Canis lupus familiaris: one gene and its partners. The protein of the gene in region 4 binds, or shares a complex with, the protein of the main gene of each other region. Links are inferred from orthologs where the notes say so. Each region holds a gene or a part of one and is shown on either strand. Other genes may lie near its edges.

Evidence for each region.
Region 1: the proteins of TIMM29 (region 4) and AGK are in contact, whole or in part, in a cryo-EM structure (PDB 7CGP), measured with the Homo sapiens proteins. The link is inferred for Canis lupus familiaris from reciprocal best matches to the Homo sapiens genes TIMM29 and AGK. Residues at the interface, in NP_612367.1 of Homo sapiens: Tyr145, Gln146, Cys149, Arg150, Tyr151, Leu152, Gln153, Arg155; in NP_060708.1 of Homo sapiens: His33, Asn36, Arg39, Arg40, Cys43, Gln44, Gln47, Asn51, Lys82, Pro86, His89, Leu90.
Region 2: the proteins of TIMM29 (region 4) and TIMM10 are in contact, whole or in part, in a cryo-EM structure (PDB 7CGP), measured with the Homo sapiens proteins. The link is inferred for Canis lupus familiaris from reciprocal best matches to the Homo sapiens genes TIMM29 and TIMM10. Residues at the interface, in NP_612367.1 of Homo sapiens: Asp181, Asp183, Ile184, Asp186, Phe189, Leu192, Leu196, Arg197, Val199, Gln203, Leu204, Ser206, Asn209, Glu210, Leu212, Phe213, Asp214; in NP_036588.1 of Homo sapiens: His30, Arg31, Lys32, Cys33, Pro35, Pro36, Leu43, Ser44, Lys45, Gly46, Glu47, Ser48, Val49, Arg53.
Region 3: TIMM29 (region 4) and TIMM22 share a complex: the UniProt entries of both Homo sapiens proteins name them as parts of the TIM22 complex. The link is inferred for Canis lupus familiaris from reciprocal best matches to the Homo sapiens genes TIMM29 and TIMM22.

The regions. Positions count from the first base shown.
Region 1 is NC_049237.1:7,354,747-7,361,441, forward strand, and holds part of AGK (acylglycerol kinase, mitochondrial), read right to left. Parts: intron 2,711-6,695; coding exon 2,563-2,710; intron 2,122-2,562; coding exon 2,024-2,121; intron 1-2,023. UniProt on the Homo sapiens protein: Lipid kinase that can phosphorylate both monoacylglycerol and diacylglycerol to form lysophosphatidic acid (LPA) and phosphatidic acid (PA), respectively. Does not phosphorylate sphingosine. Phosphorylates ceramide.
Region 2 is NC_049239.1:39,103,525-39,110,802, reverse strand, and holds TIMM10 (mitochondrial import inner membrane translocase subunit Tim10), read right to left. Parts: upstream 3,886-7,278; 5' UTR 3,385-3,885; intron 2,972-3,384; 5' UTR 2,930-2,971; coding exon 2,859-2,929; intron 987-2,858; coding exon 785-986; 3' UTR 533-784; downstream 1-532.
Region 3 is NC_049230.1:44,795,411-44,802,841, forward strand, and holds the start of TIMM22 (mitochondrial import inner membrane translocase subunit Tim22), read right to left. Parts: upstream 4,116-7,431; 5' UTR 3,794-4,115; coding exon 3,559-3,793; intron 1,287-3,558; coding exon 1,090-1,286; intron 1-1,089. Other genes in the region: thymosin beta-4, read left to right, coding at 7,417-7,431. UniProt on the Homo sapiens protein: Essential core component of the TIM22 complex, a complex that mediates the import and insertion of multi-pass transmembrane proteins into the mitochondrial inner membrane. In the TIM22 complex, it constitutes the voltage-activated and signal-gated channel.
Region 4 is NC_049241.1:50,722,604-50,730,078, forward strand, and holds TIMM29 (mitochondrial import inner membrane translocase subunit Tim29), read right to left. Parts: upstream 4,287-7,475; 5' UTR 4,061-4,286; coding exon 3,967-4,060; intron 3,891-3,966; coding exon 3,202-3,890; 3' UTR 1,459-3,201; downstream 1-1,458. Other genes in the region: protein YIPF2, read left to right, coding at 4,482-4,512, 4,848-5,002, 5,097-5,177, 6,078-6,165, 7,408-7,475. UniProt on the Homo sapiens protein: Component of the TIM22 complex, a complex that mediates the import and insertion of multi-pass transmembrane proteins into the mitochondrial inner membrane.

The DNA of each region.
Region 1 (6,695 bases), on a different chromosome or scaffold from region 4:
CTTCCCCACCCACATGGCAAACACAAGCATGCTTAATTTAGGACTTCTGTTGTTATTTTAATTTGCATTTCTTTGATATGGGCACTTTTTTGGTTTCCTTACCTATTACATGCATATAAAAGTTATATCTCCCTGATGATGCAGTTATAAGGATTACATGAGTTGACAGTATGCAAAATTCTCAGGGCAGTACCTAGCATATAGTACATATTGAGCAAATATAAGATATTTTTCCATGTTTATTTCCTGTGTGAATTTCTATTCTTGTCCTGTGCCTGTTATTTATATTAGTCCTTTGCCTATTTCTTAATAGTTTGTTATAAAGGAAAGCTTTAACTCCTGCTCTATCACATTCTTTTTCCCAATGTGTCATTAAAAATGTTGTTTATAGTTTCTTCAGTTTTAAGTAGACAAATGCATCAATATGAATTTTGCCTTAGACACTATGCTTAGAAAGGCCTGGTCCTCCCCGAGCTTATATTGATAAACACTTTGATTTCACTCTAGTGCTTTCATGGTTTTATTTTCCTAATTCAATCCTTCAATCCAACTGGAATTAATTTGTGTTATCCAAATGTTAAACAATAGACATGTCTTACATTTTCTAATTAGAAAACAACTCGATACTCCATTAATGTCAGAGTCAACCTCCCTGCTGCCTGCGTACATTCATCAATCACCATGTTCAAGTCCACATGCAGTTTCCAGACTGACCTGGTCACCTGTAAACATACTACCTGGATCTGCATAAAACCTCATCATAGGATTTGGCCCACAGGGCAGGGTGACTTTTCTATTTGCATGCTCGCTAATACAAACTTCTTAGGTTTTTTCCTACAGCAGGGGTCAGAAAACTCTGGACTTTCTGGCCAAAGAGTCAGTGTTTTAGGCTTTTGGGCCAGAGAGTCTGTGGCAACTACTTGACTCTGCAGTCACGGCACAAAAGCAGCCACAGACAGCATGTATGTGAATGCATGTGGCTGTTCCAACACAGCTTTACTTATGTGAATGAGACCTGGATTTCATATTCTGTGTATCACAAATTATTCTTTGATTTTTCTCACAACCATTTAAAAATGTAACATCAGTTCTTAGTTTGTGTGCCACCTACACAAAAATAGGTGGCAGACCAGTTTGCCAACCTCTGCTTTATTTCAAGAATTTTTTTGGTGCCTTGTCAATAGGAGTGCCATCCAGAACTTTCTGCACTAACAGAAATGTTTTGTATCTGCTCTCCAATGTGGCAGCTACTCGCCACATACAGCTAATGGGCACTTGAAATGAGTGCTCCATTTTATGTAATTCAAATAGCTGGGACGCCTGGTGGCTCAGCAGTTGAGCGTCTACCTTCAGCTCAGGGCATGATCCCAGCGTCCCAGGATCGAGTCCCACATCGGGCTTCCTGCATGGAGCCTGCTTCTCCCTCTGCCTCTGTGTGTCTCTCATGAAAAAATAAATAAAATATTTTAATAAATAAATACATAAATAAAAATAAATAAATTTTAAAAATAAAAATAAATAAATACAATAAAAACAAATAGCCACGGGTCTAGCAGCTACCGTACTGGACAGTGCATGTCAACAGAGTAGACTGTCTATATATGTGTATATATATATTTTTTCTTCTGGGGACCTAAATCCTCATACTTAATATAGTCACAAGAATAATGGGTACTCGCTCAAGTAAAAGTTCTTCAATTTTTTATTCCAGAGACAAAAGGGAGCAGGCTGACTTTCCATTTCTAAAGGCTGAAAGCTTGGTGGCTACTAAGCAGCGCCCAGAATACTGTCTCAGACCCTGCAAATCTTGAAGCTACTGCTTCACTCTGCTGTTTCTTCTCATTGCTATTATTCCTTAAAACCACACTACATCCTCTTTTCCCCAATCTTTTCCTCTCTCCCCCAAAAGGGTAAAAATAAAAAATACCCGATTAAAAAAAAATACCCGATTAGCGGAAGGCCATGTAGTCTTTGTCACTTTTCCCAGATACCAAATGTTTTGCTAGTAAAATGGCACACTTACCGTCAGGTCAAGCTGACTGTTCCGCGTTGTGATGGACAGTTCAATGGTGGACAGCTGCACTTCCTTCCAGACCTTGGGGCTCACCTCTTGTGAAAGGGCTGTGTGGGGGCATTAGATTTAGGTCAATTTCTTCTGCTAACATCTCACCACTCTCCCACCAATGGCGAACTGCCGGCTGCTTGGCTTGGCCACTCAAACCTACCCCCTGATTCTCCACCTCAGTTTTATTTATTTCATAGTTTCTTACACACAGGATGAAGAGCCAGGCTCAAATGGAACATCTATACACAAAACATCTATTAAAGCAGCCACAGTAACATAAAGGTCAGTGACAGAGGGAGCCATGGTTTGTCACCAATGACCCAGGCTATTTCCATTCATGGCACAGTGTTGGTTTGGGTCCCACTCTGTGGCATACAGAAGGAAAATTCAATGATTCTTGAAAGGCCTCTCCTGTACCACATGTCTCACACTGATTTGGGGGTCTGCTTTCGGACATCCCGAACTGACCAGGGCTCTGCAACCAGAATGTGGCTCACCATCCTGCGGCTGTGCCCAGTACGATGCGAGCCTTCGTAATATTCTCCTGTACAAAGATGGCCGTGGAGGGGTCTCTTCTGCTCCACTGGGAGGTCTCTCTGTAGGTCCCATGTACGAGATTGAGGCTTGATGTGTCTGAGGCCACTCCTTTTAACGTGAAGAGAGAAAACCTTGTCATGCACACCCATGTCCAAACTCTAGGAGGGTCTCTGCAAAGGTTAATCTACCTACACCTGCCTGAAAGCAAATTAATAATTTATCTCTGCTTTGGAACATGGGATCCTCAAGCTTTCTTTTTCTACTGAAGGCTGATCTTGAAAACCATGAACTCGGTGAGTGCTGCCTCCACTGCTCTCACAATCACAGAGCAGAAAAGTCCAAGCAGACTAACCACCACTGCTTATACTTTTTCAAAAAAAAAAAAAAAAAAAATCAGTATGAATGAGCATAGAATCATTCCATAATAAATTTATCTTTGGTTTACAGATGGTGACACAAAAATGAAATGCATCGAAGCATCAAATATCTTCTTCCCTTCTGGAATCCTATTCCACACGGAGCCCAGAATGGTTTAGGCTAGCTTTGCCATCCAGCCAAGGCTTCAAAGACCATCATTCTCAGACTAGATTTTTGTCTTCTACTTCCTGACACCCCAGTCCAGTCTCATTAGTGTCCACAGGAGTAATTAAAACAACACCCTAGCCACTCAACCCTTGATGTCATCCCTAAGTCCCCAGCCACCTATTTCCATGGCCACATCCTGGTCCTTCTCGTTACCCAGAACTATTCCACCTTAGAAACCTAAAACCTTGACGTCTTACTCTGTAGCCACACCCCATATTCTTCTGTTCTTTTGACTGCTTCCTTTGTACTGAACAGGTCTCTTGGGGTGACCCACTGCCTTGGTCTCAGGTTCTCATGCAGTAAATTATAAAGGAGTAACTGGCTTTTCCCTCCCTCCCCTTCTCCCTCTCCATCTGAATGTGGCTGTCCTGGGGACTCACTGCTTCCTCATACAGTTGTCTTCCTATAGCAGTGTCTGCCCTAAAGGAGACATTTTAAGGGGATGAATTCAATTTGGAGTATCTGGAAATCGGATTGTGACCGCATTATCTAAGCTGTGTCCTTTTCTCCTGCTGACATTTATAAAGCTGGTGTTTTGATCTCCATCTGCCTAGCTCCTGCATTGGCTTTCATAACTTGGTTCAAACTCAGAAGAGGAAGAGATGGGTGTGATTTTTGGCCCATGAAGCTCCGACCCCACACCAAATTTCTAATCACTTTGAGAATTCCAGGCCCGGATACACCATTTTCTCTCAGTGCTTAATGAAGTTGATTACTTTAAATCACCCTTTTCCCATCACTGTTGGTCCTCATGTGTCTTTGGGTGTTACATAATATGTGCCCTGAGAAGCCCCTATTCTGGATCGAGCTTGTCACTAGGTTTCTGTACTTGCACTCTGTGGCTCAGTGTTACTAGATGGGCAAACAATACTCCAGGTTGGTACTGACTCAGGGAACAGGGCGCACCTGTGCCACAACAAATCTTTGGTCTCAGGTCCTCAATACTACTTGTTGATCCTTCCAAACCTCCCTATTTTCATCTCTCTTTAAGATCCCCCCAACCCCTAGCGCCCACCTCATTTTCAACATATTCCCTGGCTCCCCATGCTTCAGCGAGTCAGGACGACAGTGGGAACTGCCTTAACCCTCTCTTCATTTGTTTGCATCTGGACCTTGGCTCTAGTTCTCTCCCATCCCCTCCTCCATCCCAGGCTGGCCCAGTACCAAGGGCCCCATGCCCTCCGACCTGTGTTTGAGTTTTGCAGGTTCAGTCAGGCTCTGCGTCTGTCTCTTGTCTCTCACCTGCTCCCCCCCTTTTTTTAAAAAAAATTTTTTTTTAGATTTTATTTATTTATTCATGAGAGACAGAGAGAGAGAGAGAGAGGCAGAGACACAGGCAGAGGGAGAAGCAGGCTCCCTGCAGGTAGACCAATGCGGGACTCGATCCTAGGACCTTGGGATCATGGCCTGAGCCAAAGGCAGACGCTCAACCACTGAGCCACCCAGGTGCCCCAACCTCTTCCCTTTCTTCCTGTCTTTTGTTTCAGGGCAGAAAGGCACTGCGCTCTCTCTACGCAATTAAACAGTCCATGGCCTGTCTTTCTCACTAGCTCTGGCCTTTCCTAGCTCTCTCCTCTCCAAGTCAGGCCTCCTGAAGGAGCGGTCCCCCTCCACTGTCTTGGCATTTCAATGTGGCTCAGCTGCCCCCTCGGAGGTGAGCAGAGCTTCCGAGGCTGAGGCTGCCCCGTTCAGTGGGTGCCCTCCTGTCCCAACACTCCCACTCCCGGGGCTGGCGTGTGTGTGACCCTCATGGGGACCCCCTTCCCCTCAGTGCTCCACGGGCAGCTCCGTGGTTCCCTAAATGCCTACAGTCCTCGGGGCTAACCATGGGCTCGTTTGCTCTACACGGCAACCTCGTCAAACCCCGAGTTGCAACACCACTCCAGCACTCAGGACGTCTACACCTGTGTCTTCAGACCTAAGTCACAACTGAATCTCCGCCTGTCTCCACAGGGAGGCTGACCTCCGTATGTGCCAAACTGAAAACATCCCCTTTCTCCACAAATTTGATCCTACTCTAATATTGTCAGTGTTAACAGAAAACTAGTTAGTGAACTAGGCCCCGATCAGAAACCAGGGACTCCTCTCATCCCCCATTTTCAAAGGGGCCACCTCACGACCCCTTTCACCCACCCTCTGCTGTCAGCACACACAGTTGGCATCCTGGCTGGACCTCATCGCTTCTCACCTGCCTTGAACAATCTTTGGTCTGGTGCCCTTGCCTTCAACTACCGGCAGGCAATCTCTTGTCTACACTCCTGACAAATAACTTTTCTAAAATGCAGACCTGGTCCTATCTCTCCCCTGCTTAAGACTCAGCAACTCCCCAACGCTTTCATGGTAAAAGTCAGACGCCACATCCAAACCTGCCATGCCTAGCCCTCCCTCGACACCCCCTCCCTGCTGCTCGGCTGCCCTGGCAGCTGTGTGACATCACGGCCATTTCACACAGCCTGGTTCCTCCACCCGGAATGCCTTTGCTCTAGTCCTGTACAGATTCAAACTCCAGTATAAGTGTTCTCTGCCCTGGGAGGGCTGCTGCCTCCTGTCTGCCCCCACCTTATCTTTCCATACGCTGTCCTTGCACTTGCCAGACCACGGGGCTTACTTGCCCCTCACACTCCCTGCACGTGGATCCTCCTGGAGGGGAGGAAACCTGTCTTATTTGACTTTGAACACTCCAAGCAGACAGCAGGGCTGGCCCCACTAGATATTTAATAACTGTTTACTGAAGAAATGCTGGAAACAGTTTATGTTCTCCCTGACTCTACAACTTAACGTAGTAGAGCTTTGCTACTCTTCTTAAATGCACCCACTACTCCACCACTGAAATTATTCCCTTAAGCAAGAGTAAAGATGCATTTTACTGAAACAGTCTGCCTTCAGTGTAGAGAGGCTTTGCCCTCCAAGTTCATTTTCATAATCATATAAATTGGTCACCCTAGTACTTTAGGGTTTTGTTTTTTTGGGTTTTTTGTTTTTTGTTTTGTTTTTTTTTTTACATTTCTTTAACATACAAGAATTTATTTAGAAGATACGGGGAGCTATGTTTTCCAAATGTTTTGCAATGGACATACATCACTTTTATAATTAGAAAATCCCTTGACACTCTGAATATTAACATTAAAACCAATATTTTCACTACAAACTTCATCTGCCAATTTTCAGATTGACCTGCCAACTTTTGAATATACTGCTTTGATTTGCATAAAAGCCGAACACAGGATGTCATCCACAGATAAGGATGACTTTTCTATTAGCATTTTCATTAATATACACGGTTCAGCTTTTCTCTATGGCAACATTTTTCAGTGAACAGGCTATAGGAGCAGTGCCGGATGGAACATTCTCCAATGTCGGAAATATCCTCTATTTATACTGTTCAAGACAGTAACCACTACCCATATTTTGCTAGGACAGTTTGAAACCTACTCCATTATACACAAGCCTGCACAATTACATACATTCGGATGCAAATCTTTAATTCATTTCCAGATATGAATGTAGA
Region 2 (7,278 bases), on a different chromosome or scaffold from region 4:
AGTGAGGAGTGCAGTCCCTGATTCAGGTGAACAGTGAATGGCAGTGGTTTTCACTTACTTCCTGATCACTCACATCACACACAAAGCTGAACCCTTCGTATGTTTCATGTTGCCATTTAGAATCCAGGGACTGGCTTGGCTACTTCCTTTTCAAATCCCATCTCCTGTTACTTGCTCCTCTAAATATTCCTTTATTATCTGGAAAACTGCCCACCTGACTCCACTTAAATTTTAAATTGTTAAACACATGTACACAGCTAGTATTTACTGAGCACTTCCTTTGTCCCAGTTAGCATTCTAAATGCCATAAACGTATTAAACCATTAATCTTCACAACCACCAGATGATTATCCTCATTTTCACAGATGAGAAAATTAAAGCACAGTGAAGTGACATGTTCAGCAAGTGGCTGACCTGGAGTACAACCTAAAACTTCCCACTAGTCTGTGCTTTTAAACACGTTAGACTCCCTCTGCTGGTGGAGGCTGTGTCTGCTGCCCCTGCTCCCAAATGCCAGGCAGACTGCTTTCCGTGTGGTAGGTGTCAACAAATCTGTTTTAATATATACACACACACATACACGTACATACACAGTCACATCACAGTGTGACAAATACCCCTTCTCCAACCGGGGAGAGTAACTCTACCATACTCTGGGTTCCTGGAGGCTCTCCAGAGGGAGCCGAGGCCCGGGAGTCTTCACAGATGACACCCAATAGGGGCACTTTTATTAGGCGAGTGGGAAGGGGCAGGGCACACCTTGGGGTGTATACTGTCTGGGGCCTCACACGGGCCCAGAGCTCTGCTGCACTCTCTTCATCAGCTCTTCATCCTGCATAGACAACTCTGTCAACTTTTTGCCCATCCGCTCATGGATGTCCAGGTACTTGGAGACACAGCGGTCCAGGCACACGGACTCGCCCTTGGACAGTTCTGCTTCCTTGTAGTGGGGAGGCACGCACTTCCTGTGGCAGGCACTGGTCATTCTGGAGGGGAAGGAAGGGCAAGGTCAGCTCAGCAGCATCTTGAGGCAACCAGGAACTCTCCATCATGCCTGCCCTGCTAATTTCACATCCCAGGAAGGCAGTGTAAATCCTCAGTTCGCATCTTAACTGAGAAGGTCCTTGAGAGTGCTCACCTGATCTGAGCCCAAGTTTATTTAAACAGGAGCCATTAGTTGACTACTGGGTATGTTCCAGGCATCATGCTAAGTGCTTGACATGGCTGGTTATGCAGTCCTTACAATGACCCTGTGAGGCAGGCACAATCTTTATCCCCATTTTACAGATAAGGAAATGCAGGCATGGAGAGCCTCAGGATCCTGTAAAGCTGGGATATGAACCCACAGGACCTCATGGCCTGCATTTTTAAATTATTTAAATATTTGGAAGTATTCTAATATACAGCCTTCAAGATAAGCCATCAAGAGAAAATACCATGGAGCTGAAGCCAATAAAACCAGAAAACATGTGGACTGCTTACTTTGTACTGGGCATGATACAAACCCAATAAGAGCTTGTTATATACATTTCTTTTTTTTAAGAATTTATTTATCTATGGGACGCCTGGGTGGCTCAGTGGTTGGGCATCTGCCTTTGGCTCAGGTTGTGATCCGGGGATCTGAAATTGAGTCATCACGCTCCCTGCGAGGAGCCTGCTTCTCCCTCTGCCTGTGTCTCTGTCTCTTTCTCTGTGTCTCTCATGAATAAATAAATACATCTTTAAAAAAAAAAGATTTTATTTATTTATTTAAGAGAGAGAGAGTGAGCACAAGCAACGAGAGGGGCAGAGGGAAATGGAGAAGCAGACATCCCACTGAGCAGGGAGCTGGACGTGGGGCTCGATCCCAGGACCATAACCTGAGCTGAAGGCAGACACTTAACCGACTAAGCCACCCAGGCACCCCTTGTCACACATTTCTACATTTAACATCTATAATGTCTCCTTGAGGTAGGCACCATTATTATCTCCATTTTATTTATTTATTTTTTTACACTTGATCTTAGCCAAAAGGATTAGAAGCAATATTTATTCATTTATTTAAAAAGAACTAGTATTATGTATTTGAGAAAGAGAGAGCGAGCACTTGCGCGGGCATGTGTGTGGGCAAACAGGGGAGAGGGAGAGGGAGAATGTCAAGCAGGCTCCCTGCTGAGTGCAGAGCCCAATGTGAGGCTCAATCCCATGACCCTGAGATCACGACCTGCAATGAAATCAAGAGTCAGATGCTCAACCAACTGCACCATCATGTGCCCCACCTCCATTTTATAGACAGGAAAACCACTAAGCAGTCCAAGTGACTTGCCCACGGCCACACTAGTGGTGATTGGCGCAGTTATGATTTGTTCCCGCATCTGCCAAATGGTTGTGGGCACTCGTTTGGAGTCAGACCGAGGTCCTGGTCCTGACATTGCTACTGACCAACTGTGAGCCCTGTGAATGTTATTTAACCTCTAGAAGCCTCCATGTCTTCACCTTAGAATGGGACAACTAAGACCGACCCGGTGGATCATTTTGAAGATCACAAAAGATGAAGGCGCGTAGAATGCTCAGCATGTGCCCGAGGTGGAGTAAGAGTTTAAGAAATGTAAACCACCAAGCGGGCTGCGTGCTGTTTGCCACAAAGGCAAACGCTCAACCGTTCCTGAAAGCCAACCAGAGCTTGGACTGGGGCTTCTCTCGCTTGCCAAGTGCATTCCAACCTAGATGTCCAACTCCTTCTAGCGACCCGTACCGCGTCTGCATTGGCCCTCAGCCACGAGGAGCGTAGGTGGGGGTGCGCACCCTCCGACAGGTGCCCTGAGGAAGGGTGACCTAGGATCACTGTCAAAGACAAGGAGCGCGCTGTCGGCTCTCACCTGTTGTACATATCGGCCATCATCTCCACCTCCAGCTCGGCAGCCAGCTGCTGGGCCCTGAGCGGATCCATCTCAGCGCTGCGCCGTGGGAAAGATCTCCTGGCCTCCTAGTCCTGGGAGCGGACATCACCGTCAGCTTCGAGCCCTCCCGTTCCGTTTCCCATCCCAGGGGGACGTAGAGGATGCGGAACAATCATAGGACACCGGGCGGGCAGGGGTCACTGACCTCAGTGGGCTCAACTATCCCATCTCACAGATATGGAAACTGAGGCCCGGAAGGGGAACACAGCACGTCAATGGAGGGGCTGGAAATCGAGCCCTGGCGCCCCAGCCCCTCGTGGCCACTCTACCCAGGAAAAGATCTCGGGACCGGAAAGGAACACTGAACCGCGGGGCCTGAACCTCCAGGGCCCTGGGAATTCGATCACACGCGGTGCTAAAGGTCCACGGGTCCCGGCCCAGGGGCTGCACCTCTGACGTGGCGGCGAGGTGCATCGGGGTCACCTTGAAGCGAGCGGTCACTTACCACGGCCTGGGGCCAGTCACTGTGCCCGCGGTGTCCTCAACTTCGCGCAAACGCTAGACAGCCGCCGCACGCCCAGGTAGGCTAAGGCGGAAGCACGTGGGTCACTTCCGGGAGGGAAGTCCCGCCTCCCCTTTGATCGGACTCGCTTCCGGAGTGAAGCCCCTACGAGGCGGCGCGGGGAAATCGGCTACCATAGAGAGGAGCCGCCGGCCGTGCCCGAAGGCGACTTGCAAGGGCTAGAGGGGACGCCAAAATACCATAGAGGCTTGGGCGCAGTGCAGAGCGCCTGCAGCCTGGCGGTGCCGTCCCCAGGGTTTCGGCGGAGAGGTCACAGTGCGACTGTCTGTAGGCGGGCGCCGGAGGGCGGGGCTCCGCGAAGCTTGGCCGCAGCCCCCGAGGCTCGACGGCGGGTCACAGACCCCGGCGCGGCGCGGAGAAGGAAGGACGCCCTCCAAGGCCGTAGTGTCTGTGCTGCTCGTTACGGTCGCCCGGGCCGCTCCCAGTGCCCCGATGCCCATGCCTCGCTTCATACCAAGCAAATCAGAACCTCTGGGAGCAGGACGCAGACTTCAGTAAATGTTTCAGTTGACCTCGGGCGGTTTCTTGGTGCAGCCGAGGTTGCGAGCCAGAGCTCCCCGGACGGAGGGAGCGCAGCGGCCCGCAGGTGCTAAGCTGTCTCCGGGCTCGCAGGAGGACGAGCCGGGTCCGCGCAACTTCCAGACGCCCCGGCCCAGAGAGATGAACAAGAGCAACGTTGGCTGCCGCCGGGGCTAACCTAGTGCATCAGAGCGAGGAGGAGGAAGGGGCTGTGAGCTGCTCTCTCCAGACCCCGTGCGTGCGTTGCTCCATCTGAACCCCTACACCACAGAAACCCGCCCCCAATCCTTTTGTTTCTCAAGGGATTTCCCAGTAAACAAAGTGTACAAGATGCAAAGCGTCCGCTGCCCATTGGAGGAGGTGGGCCGGACGCTGTATGGCTGGTCACTGTATGCTTCCCTCACTGCCCAAGAAAGTCAGGATCCTAAATTCAGCCCTCATGTCTCCTCCAAGGACTCCTCTTTCGCAAACCCGGTGCCCCAATCCTTGAAAATTAAGCTAGAGGTGCCTGGGTGGCTCGGTCGGTTCAGGGTCATGAGACAGAGCCCTGCCCTGGCCCCCAGCTCAGTGCAGAATGGGCTTGAGATTCTCGCCCTCTCCCTCCTCTGCCTCTCCCCACGTGCACATTTGAGCGCGTGCGTTCTCTCTCAAATAGATAAAATCTTTTTTAAAATTAAGGTATAGAAAAAAAAAGTAAGGTATAGGTCTGCCCCAGTGGCTCAGCGGTTTAGCGGCGCCTTCAGCCCAGGGTGTGATCCTGGAGACCTCGGATGGAGTCCCACATAGGGCTCCCTGCATGGAGCCTTTCTCTCTGTGTGTCTCTCATGAATAAATAAATAAAATATTAAAAAAATAATAAAATAGGGGCGCCTGGGTGGCCCAGTGGTTGAGCATCTGCCTTTGGCTCAGGGCCTGATCCCAGATTCCGGGATGGAGTCCCGCATCAGGCTCCTTGCATGGACCCTGCCTTTCCTCTTTCTGCCCCCCTCTCTCTGTGTCTCTCATGAATAAATAAATAAAATCTTTAAAAATAAAAAAGTTAAAAACTAAAAATAAATAAAATAAATATTTCTCAATTCATAGACACACACTTTAAAAAAAATTTAAGGTATAACAGGGGCCCCTAGCTGGCTCAGTCAGTAGAGTATTCAACTCTTGATTCCAAACCTCCCCCCACCCCCCACCCAGCCATCCTCCTGAATTTGAGCCCCACCTTGGGTGTAGAGGTTACTTAAAAAAAATTTTTTTTCAATAAAATTAAGGTATGACATCTATACAGGAAAATGACTAAAATACATAAAATTTAAGCTTAATTTTTAAATATATATTTATGCTCATAAGCACCACTCAGATCAAAATACAATGTATTTCCAACACCCTTAAAAGTTATCTTATGTTCCTGACCAGTCAATACCGGCTCTCCCAAAGTTAACCAGTATTCTGACTTCTATTGCCTATTCTTGAACTTCAGGTAAATGGAGTCATACACTATTTGCTGGTTTGTGCCTGACTTCTTTAGCTCAATGTAGCGTCTAAGATTTCATCCACATTGTTGTGTGTAACCATTATTCATTCTTTTTTATTGCTGTCTAATGTTAGATTGTATGAATGAGCCACAGGTAATTTATCCATTCACTGTTGATAGATTTTTGGGTTGTTTCCAGCTTGGGGCTGTTAGGACAATGTTGCTGTGAATACTATTGTATGTATGTTTTAGTGGACACATGTTGTAGTGGTTTTTGCTTTTAATAATATAGTCAACATATTATGGAATATAATTGCATGGGAGGGACACCTGGGTGGCTCAGCGGTTGAGCTTGCCTTCAGCTCAGGGCATGATCCCAGGGTCCTGGAATGGAGTCCCACGTTGGACTCCTTGCAAGGAGCCTGCTTCTCCCTCTGCCTATGACCTTGCCTCTCGTGAATAAATAAATGAAATCTTTAAAAGAAAAAAGAAATCGCATGGGAAAACGAGTTCTTACAAGTGTAATCTGTTTCCTCGATAGGATTTTTATTAGAAAAAAAAAAGGATTTTTATTAGGTGTTACGAAAGCATACTATATAATTCCATTTAAATAATATTCTCAAAATGACAAAATTATAGAGACAAAGAGATTAATGGTTACCAAGGGTTAGAGCCATACAGGTGAGAAGAGGGAGGAAGGTGTGCCTATAAAGGGGTAGAACAAAGGAGATCTTTGTGGCAATGGGATGGTTATCCACCCAGATTGTGGAGATATTTATATGAATCTTTCTTTTTTTTTTAAGATTTCATTTATTTACTCATGAGAGAGACACAGAGAAAGAGAGAGAGGCAGAGATACAGGCAGAGGGAGAAGCAGGCTCCATGCAAGGAGCCCAACGTGGACTCGATCCTGGGACTCCAGGATCATGCCCTGGGCGGAAGGCAGGTGCTAAACTGCTGAGCCACCCCGGGGTCCCTGTTTATATGAATCTAAACATGTGAGATAAGATGTCATAGAACTATATACACTATTGTTCCAGTGTCAATATCTTGGCTTTGATATAGCATATAGTTATGTAAGATTTAACCTTCAGTACTGTCTCTGTACTATTTATGCAACTTCCTGTAATCCTACAATTATGTCAAAATAAAAAGTTAAAACAATCCTTACAAAAATGAAAAATAAAAAATGCACTAAAAGCCCCTAGTCCATGGCAGATGCTCAATAAAAAGAAATCATTGTTCTCATTCTTTTAATTTTTAGACTTTTATTAGAGCAAATTAAAAACATACAGAAAAGTGGAGAGCACAGTATACTGAATTTCCACATACCCATCACCAGACTTTAACAGTTAACATTTAGCCATATTTTCATCTGTTTTTACCTCTAACAGATAAAGTCCTTTTCCACAATGCCATTTTTTTCATGCCTTCAAAATTATAGTAATTTCTTAATATAATCTTATGCACATATACAATTTCTCCCAATTTCTCAAAAATGGCCCCTTGTGGGGCAATTGGATGGCTCAGTCAGTTAAGCATCTGCCCTGGGCTCAGGTCATGATCCTGGGGTCCTGGGACCAAGCTCTGCTTGGGAGTCTGCTTCTCCCTCTCCCTCTCCCCACAGCTTGTGCACATTTTCTCTCTCTCTCTCTCTCTCTCTCTCTCTCCCTCCCTCAAATAAATAAATAAATAAATAAAATCTTCTTTAAAAAATGGCCTCTCTTTGGGGACACCTGGCTGGCTTAATTGGAGAAGCATGTGACTCTTGATCTTGAGGTTGTGAGATTGAGCCCCATGCTGAGTGTACAGATTACTTAAAAATAAAATCT
Region 3 (7,431 bases), on a different chromosome or scaffold from region 4:
GAGCCCCACGTTGGGTATAGAGAGTAGTTAAAAATAAAATCTTAAAAGAAAAAAAAGCTCTACTGTACAATCCAGCAGACTGCTAGGTATTTACCCAAAGAATACAAATACTACTTCAAAGGGAAACATGCATCCCGATATTTATAGCAGCATTATCTACAATAGCCAAATTATGAAAACAGGACAAGTGTCCATCTATTGACAAATGGGTAAAGATGTGATGTTTACACACACACACACACACACACACACACACTTGAATATTACTCAGCTATAAAAAGAATTTTGCCATTTGCAATGTCATGGATGGAGCTAGGGAGTATTATGCTAAGCAAAATAAGTCAGAGAAAAACAAATACCATATGATTTCACTCATGTGGAATTTAAGAAACAAAAACAAATAGGCAAAGGGAAAAAAAGAGAGAAAAGGGCAAGCCAAGAAACAAACTCAACTACAGAGAACAAACCGATGGTGACCAGAAGGGGAGGGGGTGGGGGATGGGTGAAATAGGTGATAGGGATTAAGGAGCGCACTTGTGATGAGCACCAGGTGTTGTATGGAAGTGTGGAATCAGACACCTGGATGGCTCAGCAGTTGGGCGTCTGCCTTTGGCTCAGGATGTGATCCCGCAGTCCCGGGATATCGGGATCAAGTTCCACATCGGGCTCCCTGCATGGAGCTTGCTTCTCCCTCTGCCTCTGTGTGTCTCTCATGAATAAATAAATAAAACCTTTAAAAAAAAAAGGAAGTGAAAAAAAATAAAAATAAAAAAATAAAAAAAATTTTAAAAAGGAAGTGTGGAAATCACTATATTGTATGCCTGAAACTAATATTACACTGTATGTTAACTAGAATTTTACAAAATTTAAAAAATAAATCATTAACCAAATTCTAGCCTACAAAGAAACGTAAAAAACAATGCAAGCCCAAGTAAATGCAATAAATGCACAAAAAGTTTACATTCAGAACTATTCAATGAAAATTCAATCTAGCAAGTATCAGACATTTCTGCTCTGCTTTCTAATTAATAGCGCTCTTTAGAAGTCATAAGATGGTACAAGTCTTTCTCAGAAGGCAGAGACACTTACAGATTCTACCAAACACTCGGTGCAAGAAAACATGGCGCCCACAATGGCAAAATTTTTGGCGTAAGACATTCCTCTCTGTCCCATGTCTTTCAGAACTTCTTTTGCTGTCGGTGTACGGTAAGGATCCTTAGGGTCAAAGCCCACATTGGTATCAATGCCAGCAGTGAACACTCCAAAGGCACCTCCCAAGACAAATCCTAAAAAGACACACAGATGAAGACTTCTTTGGCATGTTTTCTGGGTTACTGTAATGAGGTCATACTCGAATTGCACATTTGGCTGGCTACCAGCAAAGAGGACACCCCCTACCTACCGCCCCTACTCCATCTTACCAAACTCTCCAGTTATCTGGTTGCACATCACACAAGCCGTAAACTATCTTGTTGACATCTTCTTCTCAGTCTTTGATTTCTTCCTCTTTTCATTTTCTAACATTCCTGAAGATTCGATCTTTAACCTTCTGTTCTGTCTGTACTCATACATTCAACTCTCAACTTTGCAAATCACTCCCTTGACAATGGTGACATTCATAACTATCATTTAGTGAGTACCATGCTCCAATCACTCTGATGCTTTATAGTCACAGCTCCTTTTATTCTTCACAATAGTCTCGTGAGGTAGATACTATTACCCTTTCCATTCTACAGCTGAATCGGCTGAGGCTCAGGGAGGTTAAGTAACTTTCCTAAGGTCACAAAGCTACCAAATAGCAACCATACACTGCTGTCCCCATCTTTCTGAGCCTGCTAGACACTTCTATATAGATGTCCTCTCATCACCCCAAGGTCAAAATATGTTTAATGAAGTCATGGGCACCTTCCCTCCAGACTTTCTTCCTTCTTTCCAGGCACTCCAACTCCAAAGCTGAAGGGCATTTCTGACCGGTTCTTTGCTTTCCCCTACAACCCTATGTTCACAGTTATCATCCTAGTCTAAGGCCTGTATCACTCCCACTCTAGAGCATTACAAAGACTTATTCATCATTTTAACAAATATGTAAGTGATGTAGTAGGGTCGGACATAATGATGAACAAACACCAAGGCCAGGCTGCACTGCACCTCAGTTTTGCAAATTCCCTATGCCGTCTTCCCACCCACACTTTCTTTCTTCACCACACTCTATGCTGGGTCATCATGTGCATCAATTACTGCTCTAATGCCTAAAGACAAAAAAGCCCAAAGCCCCAACTCCACCTCCAACTTGAAAGGGCATTTCTCCTCCTCTTTACCCCCATTCTCTCAATCCTTCAAGATACAGCTGCAGTCTCACCTCTTGTAGCCTTCCCCAAACCATAAAAATACTGCTCTCTTTCTACTACATACCTGCACTCCCACTGTATTTGTTTCTTGTCTTTCATTCTCATGAGATTTCAACTCATCTGCAAATGTGGCCAACCTCTTTACAGGAGGGACACCATACACTCTCAAATCCTTTTTCAAAAGGTCTAAAAAAAAAAAAAAAGTGTGTGTGGGGGGGGAGTCTTTCCCCCTTGTTTCCCACCATCTAATCACACTGTCCACACTGGCCTTTGTTTTCTTTTTCTTTTTAAGATTTTATTTATTTATTTGAGAGCGAGCTAGGGAGAGAGCACTAGCTGGGGGAGGGGCCGAGGGAGAGGGAGAGGGAGAGAGCAGACTCCCCGCTGAGCAGGGAGCCCCAAGGCGGGGTGGATCCCAGGTCCCTGGAGTCATGACCCGACCTGATGGCAGATGCTTAACCTGCTGAACCACAGAGGTACCCCTGTCCTTTGTTTTTCAAACAGGAAGCCAGCTCCTACCGGACCTTGGCAGTTGCTGCTCCCCCATGTTCCACTTTCCTGCCTGGCTCCTTCCCAACATTCTTGTTTCTATATATATATATATATATATATATATATATATATATATATATATATATATATATATATATATTAAAATGTGAGCTTCATGAGAACCTGGCTCTGGTCTCTAACCCTGTCCCTCCACCCCTGAGCACGTGACGGTTACTTTTAACAACTCGTTGAAAGAATGCTTATTTAGGGACGCCTGGGTGGCTTAGCAGTTGAGCGTCTGCCTTTAGCTCAGGGCATGATCCCAGAGTTCCGGGATCGAGTCCCACATCGGGCTCCCTGCATGGAGCCTGCTTCTCCCTCTGCCTCTTTCTCTGTGTCTCTCATGAATAAATAAATAAAATCTTAAAAAAAAAAATAAAGAATGCTTATTTAAAAGCGAACCAACGAATGAAGGCAGGCATTTTATAACCTTTAGGCCCCAACCCATATGGTACCGATTCTCTGACCCAATTTCCAGGGGCGAAAAAGAACCTCAGGGCCTAGAGAGGGGTCACCCGAGCTCACGGATCCAGGCAGGGGTGCAGTCAGGAGCGAGGTCCACAGGCTCCTCGCCTCCCAGGCCGTGGTCTTCTTGGCAGAGGACCCCGCTGCCGTGCAAGCCCTCAGCCTCCCACCGGGCCCCCTAGTCTTGCCTCACCTCCCACGCAGGCCAGCGCCGCCTTGAAGGCGCAGCTTTCCATCGCCTTCTCGATCATCTTCTGTTCCTCACTCTTGATCGGGCTCGGGATCCCGCCCAGACTACTGGGCTCCAGCAGCCGGGGCTGACGCTTGTCGCCCACCAGGTACTGCAGAAGAAGGCTGTACTGCAGCGGGGCTTCGGCGGAACCCGCTGCCTCCGGCGCGGAGGCCCCCGTACTGGGGGTAGTCGCCATGACTGCAGATGCTCGAGAAACCCTGGCGTTCTTCTTCCCACAGCAGATTCCGCAAGCTTCACGTTAGGGCGCGCCTAGCCCCCGTGACGCAACGGCAGATTCGCCACAACGAGCAAGTGCAAGAAACGACGCCAGCGAAGTCCGTTCGTGCCTCCGGCGAAAGAGATACCATGTTCCCCAAAAGCCCCTTGTCAATACCGAGTCAGGCTTGTGCAGCATCCAAACGGCCCTAATGAACAAGATTCAGAGTCACCAGAAAGCGCCCTCTTCGTCAGGGCGGCAGCGCGGGGGGTACCGCGATCTGTATAGCCCAGGCATCTCCCAGGAGGCTCTGCGCGGGCGCGCGCCTCGGGGCCTCGTCTGGAGCTCCCGACTGCGGGGAGGGGGCGGAGGAGCGCCCCCGCGAGGCTGCAGCGCGCCGGAGCCTCGCCAGGGGGCGCACGCACCGCGCCGCTGCCCTTCCAGCCTACTCCTTCCTCGCAGGGGTGGTGAGAGGTAAATGGTGGAAAGTGCTTTGTGAATAAACGTAAAAGCCTGGTATAAGTGTATGCAATATATGTTTTATTTGACAATTAAACCCTTGCGGAGAGAGAAGGGGCCCAACAAATGAGTGAACTAATGAGCGAAGCTAGCTAAGTGTAAGAAAAGGAGGTGGAGGGATCCCTGGGTGGTGCAGCGGTTTAGCGCCTGCCTTTGGCCCAGGGCGTGATCCTGGAGACCCGGGATCGAATCCCATGTCGGGCTCCCGGTGCATGGAGCCTGCTTCTCCCTCTGCCTGTGTCTCTGCCTCTCTCTCTCTCTCTCTCTCTCTCTCTCTCTCTGACTATCATAAATAAATAAAAAAAAAATTAAAAAAAAGAAAAGGAGGTGGAGAGGGCAAGGCCGGGGCCCCTACCCACGCTCCAGCCAGTTATTGTTGTCGGTGGAATTGGTGATGTGGGACTAGCATTGCCCTGGAAAGCCAGGTTTAGATTATGTGAAACCAATTAAAGTGCTCACCAGCTTGCAGACTCAGAACCTGAAGGTAAACTGTAAGGTAGTACTATGCATGAATCCAGAAAAACTTTTGCACTAGTTTTTATGTTACTAAAATAGATTCCACACTATTGCATTGGTCCAGACTAGCAATGTATTTGAGTGTTTTAGCTAAGAGAAACCTTAATGGAAACAGGTGGTGAGCATAGCCAGTTGAGGTGGGCAGAGATATTTCTTTGGTACCCGAAGTTCTCAGTGCATCCCAGCACAGCATATGCTTTGATGTGGAAAACAAAGGCAGAAGAAAAATTGCTAAATTTTCTTACTCCCTACAGCCCAGTGACAAGACCTTGAAACAGGCAGAGTGACATTCCTCTAGGGACTCAATGCCTCCATGTTGATACTTTGTTAAGGGCAGAAGGGAATCTTAGGATCCTGTAAGTCTACTTTAACATATAGAAATTCCTTTAGAAATTTTCTTTATCTCTAACCCCCCAAGATACATGTTGGAGATCATCCCCCAAGCATATGACCTAACAATATTCATCTGAAGGGGCCCATGACATTATTGTATCAGACAGTAGTAAATGGCCTTTTCCCAACAATAGCTACCCCATCAAGGTCCTGGAAACCCTGCTTCCAAAATTCCTTAGAGACTTAAGGTGTCTCTAAGCCCTCCCAACTTAAAGTATATGAACAGGCCGCTCCTCATGACCCCAGAGCAGCTCTTTCTGCCCACAGGTCCTGTCCCCGTGCTTTCATAAAATCACCTTTTTGCACCAAAGACATTTCAAGAATTCTTTCTCGACCCTTGGCTTTGAACCCTAATGTCTTTTCCTACCTCATGCTTCACCCTGATTCTGTTCCCACCAAGCCATTGAGTGGGCTGGTCTGAGGGTCCCCAGGGATTTCCCAGTTGTTGAATCTCTTATTTTAAGATTTATTTATTTACTTGAGAGAGAGAGCGCGCGAGAACACAGAGGCAGAGAGAGAGGGAGAAGCAGACTCCTTGCTGAGCAAGGAGTCCAATGCAGGGCTCGATCTCAGGACCCTGGGATCATGACCTGAGCCGAAGGCAGAAACTTAAACGACTGAGCCACCAGGAGTCCCCTAGTTGTTGAATCTAATTCAGGCCTGATTTTACTAGACTTCTGTACTGCATTTGACACTGTTGTCTCCCTTCTTGTCTGAAGTTTCTTCATATTTTTAGTGGAGCCCCTCTTTCCTAGTTCTGCTACAGCCTCTCCAGATGCTCCATCTCCTTTGCACGCACCTCTGCGTGGCCTTTTCTTGTTGGTCCTCTCAGGGCTTCATCCTTTACCGTCTTCCTCCGCAGCTCATTCTACCTGAGCAACTCATCTTCGTGGCTTCTACTCCACCTCAAATTGCATTAATGACTCTCAAATCTAAAAAAAAAAAAAAAAAAAAAAATGACTCTCAAATCTTCATCTTCAGCTTAGACCCTTCTCATAAACACAGGAACCAGACACTTCCCATAAGCACCTCTAACTCAACATGCCCTCGCAACCACCCTTTCCTTCCAGATGAATGAAGGGCCCAGAGCTCTGATTTATGCTGAAGTCTTTTTTTCTTTTTTCAGATTTTGTTTATTCATTTGATAGAGAGCAAAAGTAGCAGAGCAAGAGGCAGAGGGAGAGGAAGAAGCAGGCTCCCCACTGAGCAGAGAGCTTGATAAGGGGCTCGATCCCAGGACCCTGGAATCATGACCTGAGCCAAAGGCAGATGCTTAATCAACTGAGCCACTCAGATGCCCCATGCCAAGATCTTCAGAGCTACAGTTGGATCTGAGAGAACCTGGGACAGCCACCCCCCACCCACCCTTGGCAAGTCCCAGGTAAGGTGGCCTTGGAAAACAAGGAATGGTCTAAATAATTAACCCATGGAACTACTTAGAGAGTAATAATCAATCCCCAAATGAAGGGTCTTCATTAGAGTTCAGGTGAGGTCCAGGTCAGCATGTGAAGAAATTCCATGTGGCCAAGGTACATGAATGAGGGAGCCTTTTATGGAACATCCTTGGCCTGGATCATAGATGGAGAGAGAACAATTACAGACACTGATCTGGTATCTCTCTCCACTCACCCAATTTCCTTCCATAGGTAGTTTTCTGATGGAAAACTTGAACCTCTCCAAGCATATTCTGAAAGTGAAAAGTGGTTTCCCATGTCTGTTTCCCAGGGCTGAACCTCTGCCAATAGTCTGGGGACTCTATCTGGCCCTGGCATCATTGGGAATCCAGCAGCCTCGTGTTACAGTTTGGTTCCCCACGTCACATTGTCTGTCCCGATCACAAGGCAACAGGGAAGCATCTCAGTGGGCCAGAGAGAACAGGGAACAGTTAAAGAGGAAAATTAAAAAAAAAAAAATTTCTATTTATTCACGAGAGACACAGAGAAAGAGGCAGAGACATAGGCAGAGGGAGAAGCAGGCTCCCCACGGGAAGCCCGATGCAGGACTCAACCCCAGGACCCAGGGATCATGACCTGAGCCAAAGGCAGGTGCTAAACCACTGAGCCACCCGGGTGCCCAGTTAAAGAGGAATTAGTTATTCGCCAGCGACCACAGCGCAGACCGGATCCCTCTCTATCCAGCTCGCTCGTGCGCCTCGCTCCGCTTCCTCTGCAACCATGTCTGACAAACCC
Region 4 (7,475 bases):
CTTGGATTTTTTTCAAAGATGTTATTTGAGGGTAGCCCTGGTGGTGCAGCGGTTTAGCGCCGCCTGCAGCCGGGGGTGTGATCCTGGAGATCCGGGATCGAGTCCCACATCGGGCTTCCTGCATGGAGCCTGCTTCTCCCTCTGCCTGTGTCTCTGCCTCTCTCTCTCTCGCTCTGAATGAATAAATAAATCTTTAAAAAAATATATGTTATTGGGATCCCTGGGTGGCGCAGCGGTTTGGCGCCTGCCTTTGGCCCGGGGCGCGATCCTGGAGACCCAGGATCAAGTCCCACATCGGGTTCCCGGTACATGGAGCCTGCTTCTCCCTCTGCCTGTGTCTCTGCTTCTCTCTCTCTCTCTCTGTGTGTGACTATCATAAGTAAAAATTAAAAAAAAATTGAAAAAATATGTTATTGATTTGAGAGAGAGAAAGAGAACGAACACAGGGTGGGGGCAGAGGGAAAGGGATCATGACCGGAGCCAAAAGCAGATGCTTAACTTACCGAGCCACCCAGGCACCCCCGAATTCATTCGTTCTGTCAGTTTTTTTTTTTTTTTAAAGATATTATTCATTCATTCATGAGATAGAGAGAGAGAGGCAGAGAGACACAGGCAGAGGGAGAAGCAGGCTCCACGCAGGGAGCCTGACGCGGAACTCGATCCCAGGTCTCCAGGATCACGCCCTGGGCTGAAGGCAGGTGCTAAACCACTGAGCCACCCGGGCTGCCCTCTGTCAGGGTTTTTTTGATGGGGTCTTTAGCGTTTTCTATGTCATCTGCATATAGTAAGTTTTACTTCCTCCTTTCCAATTTGGATGGCTTTTCTCTTTCTTACCTAGTTGTTCCGGCCCAGGTCAATCACAAAGCTGGTGTGAAAGCTGAGACCCAAACTCTATTTTTAAGTCCCACTTCTTCCCCAGACCCTAATGCCCTTATGAAGAGAAAGTTTGTCCACCTTGCTGTTTCTGGTACTGGGTGAAGCCTGGGGGATCTCTTCTGGGCTGACCAAAGGATGAGGAGCCAGTCCTGCACTGTTTCCCTCTCCCCAGCAGGACCAGACAAGCTTCTGCCCACAATGAACACAGGCATCATCCCATTTAACTCTCTCAGCATTTGCTGGGGCCCATACTGGACTGAGCACTAGAGGGTGTTGGGAGTTCAGCAGCGAACAAGACCATCCTTTGGGAGCCTGTGTACACCCCAACACCCAGTCCTTGTTCCATCTACCAGTTCCAGTCCATGAGCTTTACAACTCAGAAGGCAAGAGGTACTAGAGAGGGAAGCAAAAATATGGTAAGACTCCACTGGGAAAAGCCAATCTTGCAACCAAAGACAAAACCACATAGACTTTAGGCCTACACTAAGCCCCTAAATCCCTAGAACACTGAGAGCTGTTTAGTTTGTTGCCAACAACTCCTCACAGCTGTAGGGGGACTGCACAGAACACACTCTGGCTGAATGTTAGAAGAGGCATTTAATAACCAACACAAGCAGTGAGCAAGTGCAGCTCTCACTGATCACGGTGAAGAACAAGTCTCACTTTGATGCTGATGTGTCTTAAAGCTTTCCCTGAAGTTGGTTAATATCTGTCTTGAACAAAAACATCCGGATTTAGGCCCAGAGCCTTTGGCAGGTAACAGTATAGGACCATAGTTTAGTATCATTTGCTTTTTGTTCCCATTACGTTTCATTTCTATATTCACTTATTTCAGTATTCAAGTTTTATTTATGGCTAATGATAGCAGCATTTAATAATTCCTGGCAAGATGTTGCTAGGATCCAATACAGTACCCCAAGTTTGAGGATTAAGGCACAGGGTTGGGAGTTACCATTTGAATCATAGCTCTGCCACAGCCTTGGAAAAATCAGCTTTTTGAACATCACTTTTTCCATTGTAATGAAGATGTTGATTTACAAGATGCTCCCCTGTCCCAAAAATAAGGATATAAAAATCACCATGTGTCCAGCATACCCACAATGGAAAGTCTGAGTACCAAAACTGAATGACAAAATACATGAACTCAAACGTCACAGCAAAGATGGTTGCTTCATCTCATGGGGGTTTTTTTACTTTTCTTTTTAGTAATCTCTATACCCAATATGGAACTTGAACTCATGACCCCAAGATCAAGAGTCAGTCTTGCTCTTCCCACTGAGCCAGCCATGGGTCACCTAGGTTCACGGAGGTAATCTCATTCCTCTATCCATTTTTAAAGTAGGGTTATCACAACCTAAATACCAGCTCTGTAGACTAACCTATTCCATTCAATAGTATTCTGGGTTTCCAGGGTGACTGAAATAATAATCTGTGATTCCATAGTTAATTCCAGATTTTTTAAAAAAATGCTTTATCCTTCCAAATCAGTTTGATATCACTGTCATATGTGGGGGGGGAAGGTTTTTGCAGAAAGATTCCCTGTAAAATCTATAGTCATACCACTGGCAATCTCCTAGTTTGCTGTAGTTTATTGTAAAACATTACCATTTGGGGTAAACTGGGTGAAGGATACACAGAATGTCTTTGGGTTATTTTTCCACTTTCTTCTGAAACTGCTTTTTAACTTTATTTTGAAATAATTAAAAATGCTACTCATGAAAATGAAAGAAGATAAACATTGCAATTCCAAATTTAAAGTGAAAATCTGGGGGCACCTGGATGGCTCAGTGGTTGAGTGTCTGCCTTTGGCTCAGGTGGTGATCTTGGGGTTCTGTGATCGAATCCTGCATCCGGTTCACCACAGGGAGCCTCTGCCTCTCTCTCTCATAAAATAAACTCTTTTTTTAAAAAAATAAAAATAAAGTGAAAATCTGAATGGTATTAGGAGAGCTTTGGAGTCACCTGACAAATGTGGTACCTCGGTGGAGGGACTGGGAAGCTCAGTAAAAAAGGCTTATATATATATGTATAAGGCTCATTATTAACTCTGGCAGTGATAAACATTACCTGGTCTTGTCGCTTTGCTCTCCCCCAACTCCTTGACCCAAGGTTAGGCCTAGACCAAGCTAACTCTGAATCAGCTTCAACTAACAAGGAACCAGATGAGCGGGAGAGAGGCCGGAAAGGTTGTGAAAACCCAGGGAAAGAACACTGTGCACATAATTTATTTAAGTCACTCTGGATCTGAGGCTAAAACACAGCGGATGCCATCCCGGGTGGACGGTCAGCCAGCGCTCCGCGCCCTTCCGGATCCAGGCCTGGGTTTCATCTGGGGACCTCCGACCGCACCAGGGAGTCGGCCTGGCTCAGGGCGAGTTTGTCCTTCTTCTCCTTCTGCAACACCTGCTCTTCCCACAGCGCCTGGTCAACCTGATCGTCTGTGAGCACGACGGGCTTGTACTTCTCGTCGAAGAGGCGCTCGTTCGTCTCAGAATGCAGCTGATGGGGTCCGACGACGCGCAGATGGGCCGGCAGGTGCTGGAACTCCTCGTCGTTGATGTCGCAGTCGCGCATCCGGGCGGCCAGCACCCACCAGCGGCCCACGAAGCCCACGTCCAGGATCCGGTCCGGGAAGTCGGCCCAACGGGGCTGCAGGTAGCGGCAGCGAGCCTGGTAGAGGCTGGCCTGGGCGTCGACGGGCGCCTCGTACACGAGCGCGCAGAGGCCCAGGTTCACGTGGCGGAGGCGGCCGCGCCCCCGCAGCCAGAGCAGCCGCTGCACACAGTCCTCGGAGGCGCGGTTGCGCGTGGCGGGGGCCAGCAGCAGGAGGATGCCCGACGCGTCGAGCAGCGCCTCCTCGAAGGCCGCCTCGCTGGGCGCCAGCGCGCAGCAGGCCGCCGCGCCCCCCAGCAGCCCCGCGTACACGGCCGCCCGCCAGGGCCGGGCCCGCGCCGCCGCCGCCGCGTCCCCGCAAGCCTCGGCGTAGTCTCGGAGCAGCACGCGGGCCCAGGCGCCTGAGGGAGAAGCGGAACACACAGGTGAGAGCAGGCCGCCGTGGCCACCCTCCCGCCGCCGCCCGCCGCTACTCACCCAGCCGCGCCCACACGCCCGGCTTCGCGGCCGCCGGGCCACCAGATCCTTCACGGTTTCGGGACCACAATCTCTTCAGAGCGGCCGTCGCCATTCTCTTCCGGCTCAGAGTCCGTTTTCCGAAGCGAAACGCCTCGTGTGCGAAGTAAAAGGCCCGGGGGCCTCCTGCGCCAGCGTCGACGGTGCCGGAAGTGGCTTCCCATCGGAACAAGACGGAACTCGGACCGCTGCCGGATGTTGCTGTCGGGTCGGAGCGCGGCCGGCGGAGGCCGGGAGGCGGGCCGCGCAGGCGCAGAGAGCCTGGGCCACGCCGGCTGAGGGAGCCTCAGGTGAGGGGGGCGGGGTGCACCTGTGGGGCGGGGGCGGCGAGGTCACCCCCCGCTCGGTGCCCTAGCGGCCTGGCTGGGCTCCGGGCTGAGGGATGGACCTGGGGGGAGGGGCACCGAGTGTGGTTGGGGGCGGGCGTCATTGGCCTCTGTCCTCAGAGCGGGATGCGGTGACGCCCCTGAGCGACCATGGCAGCGGCCGACGAGCTGGCCTTCCACGGTGAGTGGGCGGCGACCTGGCCCGAGCTCCTACTCCCTCCGCCGCCCGGACCCTCCCACCCGGGTGCCCGCCGACAGCCGGCCTGAAGCCCCGACCCTGACCCGAACCCCGCTCCCAGCCTGAGCCTCGGTCCCAGACCTGACCCCATCCCGGAACCAGCCTTAAGTGGTGGGCCCTTGTGGGGCGGGGGGACACACCTTACAACTCCCCAAAACTTAGGAAGCTGGGCCCTTAGGTAGCCCCAGGTGGAGTGTTGTCCCCCAGCCGAGCAGTGGGCCAAACCAAATTGTCTTGACTCCCAAAACATGCCTTTGTCCCGTATTCCTTCTCCATAGAGTTCGAGGAAGCTTCTAGTCTGCTGGCGGAGACCCCAGATGCGGCCACCACGAGTGGCCGCGGTCAGCTGGCCCCACAGGGGCACGTGGCGGTGGAGGTGGACTCGGGTGGTATCTACGGATCTGAGGAGGCTGAGGAGAGTGACAAGACTGCGGTGAGAGCCTCAGGCCCTGCCTGCACCCAGCCCTGCCCCCGCGCTCCGCCCAGGCGGGAAGGGCAGCCGCTGAAAGCCCATGCCATCCCTGCAGCTCCTGCAGGAGGAGAAGCAGCAGCCCGGATTCTGGACCTTTAGCTACTATCAGAGCTTCTTTGACGTGGACACATCCCAGGTCAGGCCCGGGAAGCTGGTGGGATGGGGCCTGCGGTCACACGGGGGTCCAGCCACTGTTCACTGAGCCCTTCCTAGACACCAGAATGCTGGTGATGCCCAGGCGGTAGGACACGGGCCCCTACACGGGCTGGTGGACTGTGGTGCGCTGTCAGGATTATGGTGTGATGGGCTCGTGGGAACACAGTTGCATATAGTCACGCAGGTTAGAGAAGGGCCTCCTGGAGGAGGTGAGGAATGTGCAGAGACGTGAAGGGAAGCACGTATGGCAGGTGCAGGGAACAGCAGATGCAGAGGGCCAAAGGTGAGAGAAGGTGTCACGAGCTACCTGTCACTTGATCTGGTTGGAGATTGAGGTGGGGGACAGGCAGGCAGAACCCAGACCACAAAGGCCTCGTACGCTGTGCTAGTTTGAGTTTCATCGTGAGGGTGCTGGGGAGCCACAGAAGGGCTTAGAGCGGGAGAGGAATGAATTGAATTAGGAAGGTGGCTCAGAGACCCCAGGCCTTAAACCTGGGGTGCAGAACAAGGAATATAGTGGAAAGAGAGGTAGGCAGGAGGATGCCCAGGATTTGACTGTTCCCCACCTCACGGTCCAGGCATGTCACAACATAACAGGCTGTTCAGGGCAGCCAAGCTAAGAGAAGGGAGAAGCAAGGAGAAAGATGACCAACCCGGAAGAGTCCTTGAGAGCAGTAGCGCGCTAGGGTATTGGGGCTGGCCAGGGAAAGGGGCATCAAAAACTCAGGGAACATCCAAGCTTTTTCAGGCAAGGAGATGGGAGCTCAGCAGGGAAGGAGCCCCTAAGGGCAGGAGCTTAGCCCTTTCCTCTTTCTTTGGTGGAGGGATGTGTGTGTTGGCCCTGTGCAGGCTCCCATTCTGGGCCCCACCTTGTCCCCAGGTCCTGGACCGAATCAGAGGCTCACTGCTGCCCCGGCCTGGCCACAACTTTGTACGGCACCATCTGCGGAATCGGCCAGACCTGTATGGTGAGTGGTGGTGTACGTTCAGCTCGATAATTCATTCAGCACATGTGGACCGAGTGCCAGCCCATGGATTCCAGCTGAGAAGAAAGTAGGGGCACTCCCAGAGGGCAGGAAGCACGCATTCCATCTGGGGAGACAGATATATAGAGGCTGCTGAGGGCAATGGGGCTCAGAAAAAAAGCAAACAGTTTAGAGGATGGGAGTTGCCATTTTGCATGGTTGAGACAGGACATCTCTGAGGAGGATGCAAGAATGGGCCTTGTTAGGGATGAAGGTGAGGAGACATAGGGGAAGAACATTCCAGAAGGGGGCACAGGTCCAGTGGTGGAGCAGTATTGTCACTGGAGCAGTGAGCTGCATGAGGTCGTAGAGGTGACAGGAGAGACTGTGCAGATTTTGTCCGTCTCAGTGAGAAGGGGTCTTAGTTAAGGACTCTGAGGCTTCCTCTGGCCATGGGGGGCGGGGGGGGGCAGGGGCAGATGCCAGGAGACCAGAGAGGCAGTGCCCGCCACCATGGTACAGGTGTGGGGTGATGGGCCCAGCCCCAGGTGGAGAGCAGTGGTTGGACTGTGAAAGAGATCTCATGGCAGAGCCGACGGGACTTCCTGACACCCTGACACGCCTGAGGTCGGGCGGGAGGAGAGAGGCAAGGGTGGCTCCTGGATTTCCATCGGGACTGCTAGAAGGATGGGACTGTCATTTACCAACTGGAAAGGCTGGGCAGGCTGGAGTTGGAGAGACCTAGACGTGACGTGGAAATGCTGACTATAAAGCCAGTGGTTCATGGCACAGACCAAATTTGAGACATTTGGGAGTCATCAGCCTGGAGGTGACCTAAACCCCTGAGGCGGGACAAGATGGTGCAAGGGGTGAACACAGAGAGGATGGCTGAAGACCGGCCCTGGCTGGGTCCCCGTTATTGAAGGGGTTAGGGAGTCCCAAAGGTTGGGGAATAGCCAGGAATGTGACATGCCAGAAGCAGGAGCATGAAGTCCTAAAAGCACATGGGGAGTGGTTCCAGAAGAAGGAAGCGATCAGCTACAGCAAAGGCGATAGAAAAGTCAGGAAAGCTGAGGGACTGAGGGCCAGCTCTGGGATCAGCCAGCCCAGGTCATCAGTGACGGGGGGTGGTGTGCAGGTAGCCCCGAGCCTAGAAAGCAGCTGGGGTCCCAGCACAGTTGAGATGGGACAAGTCTCCTGTTCGGGGAACCCTGGGCCCCTTCCCACACCCTGCCCTGCCCACAGGCCCCTTCTGGATCTGTGCCACGCTGGCTTTCGTCTTGGCCATCACTGGCAATCTGACGCTGGTGCTG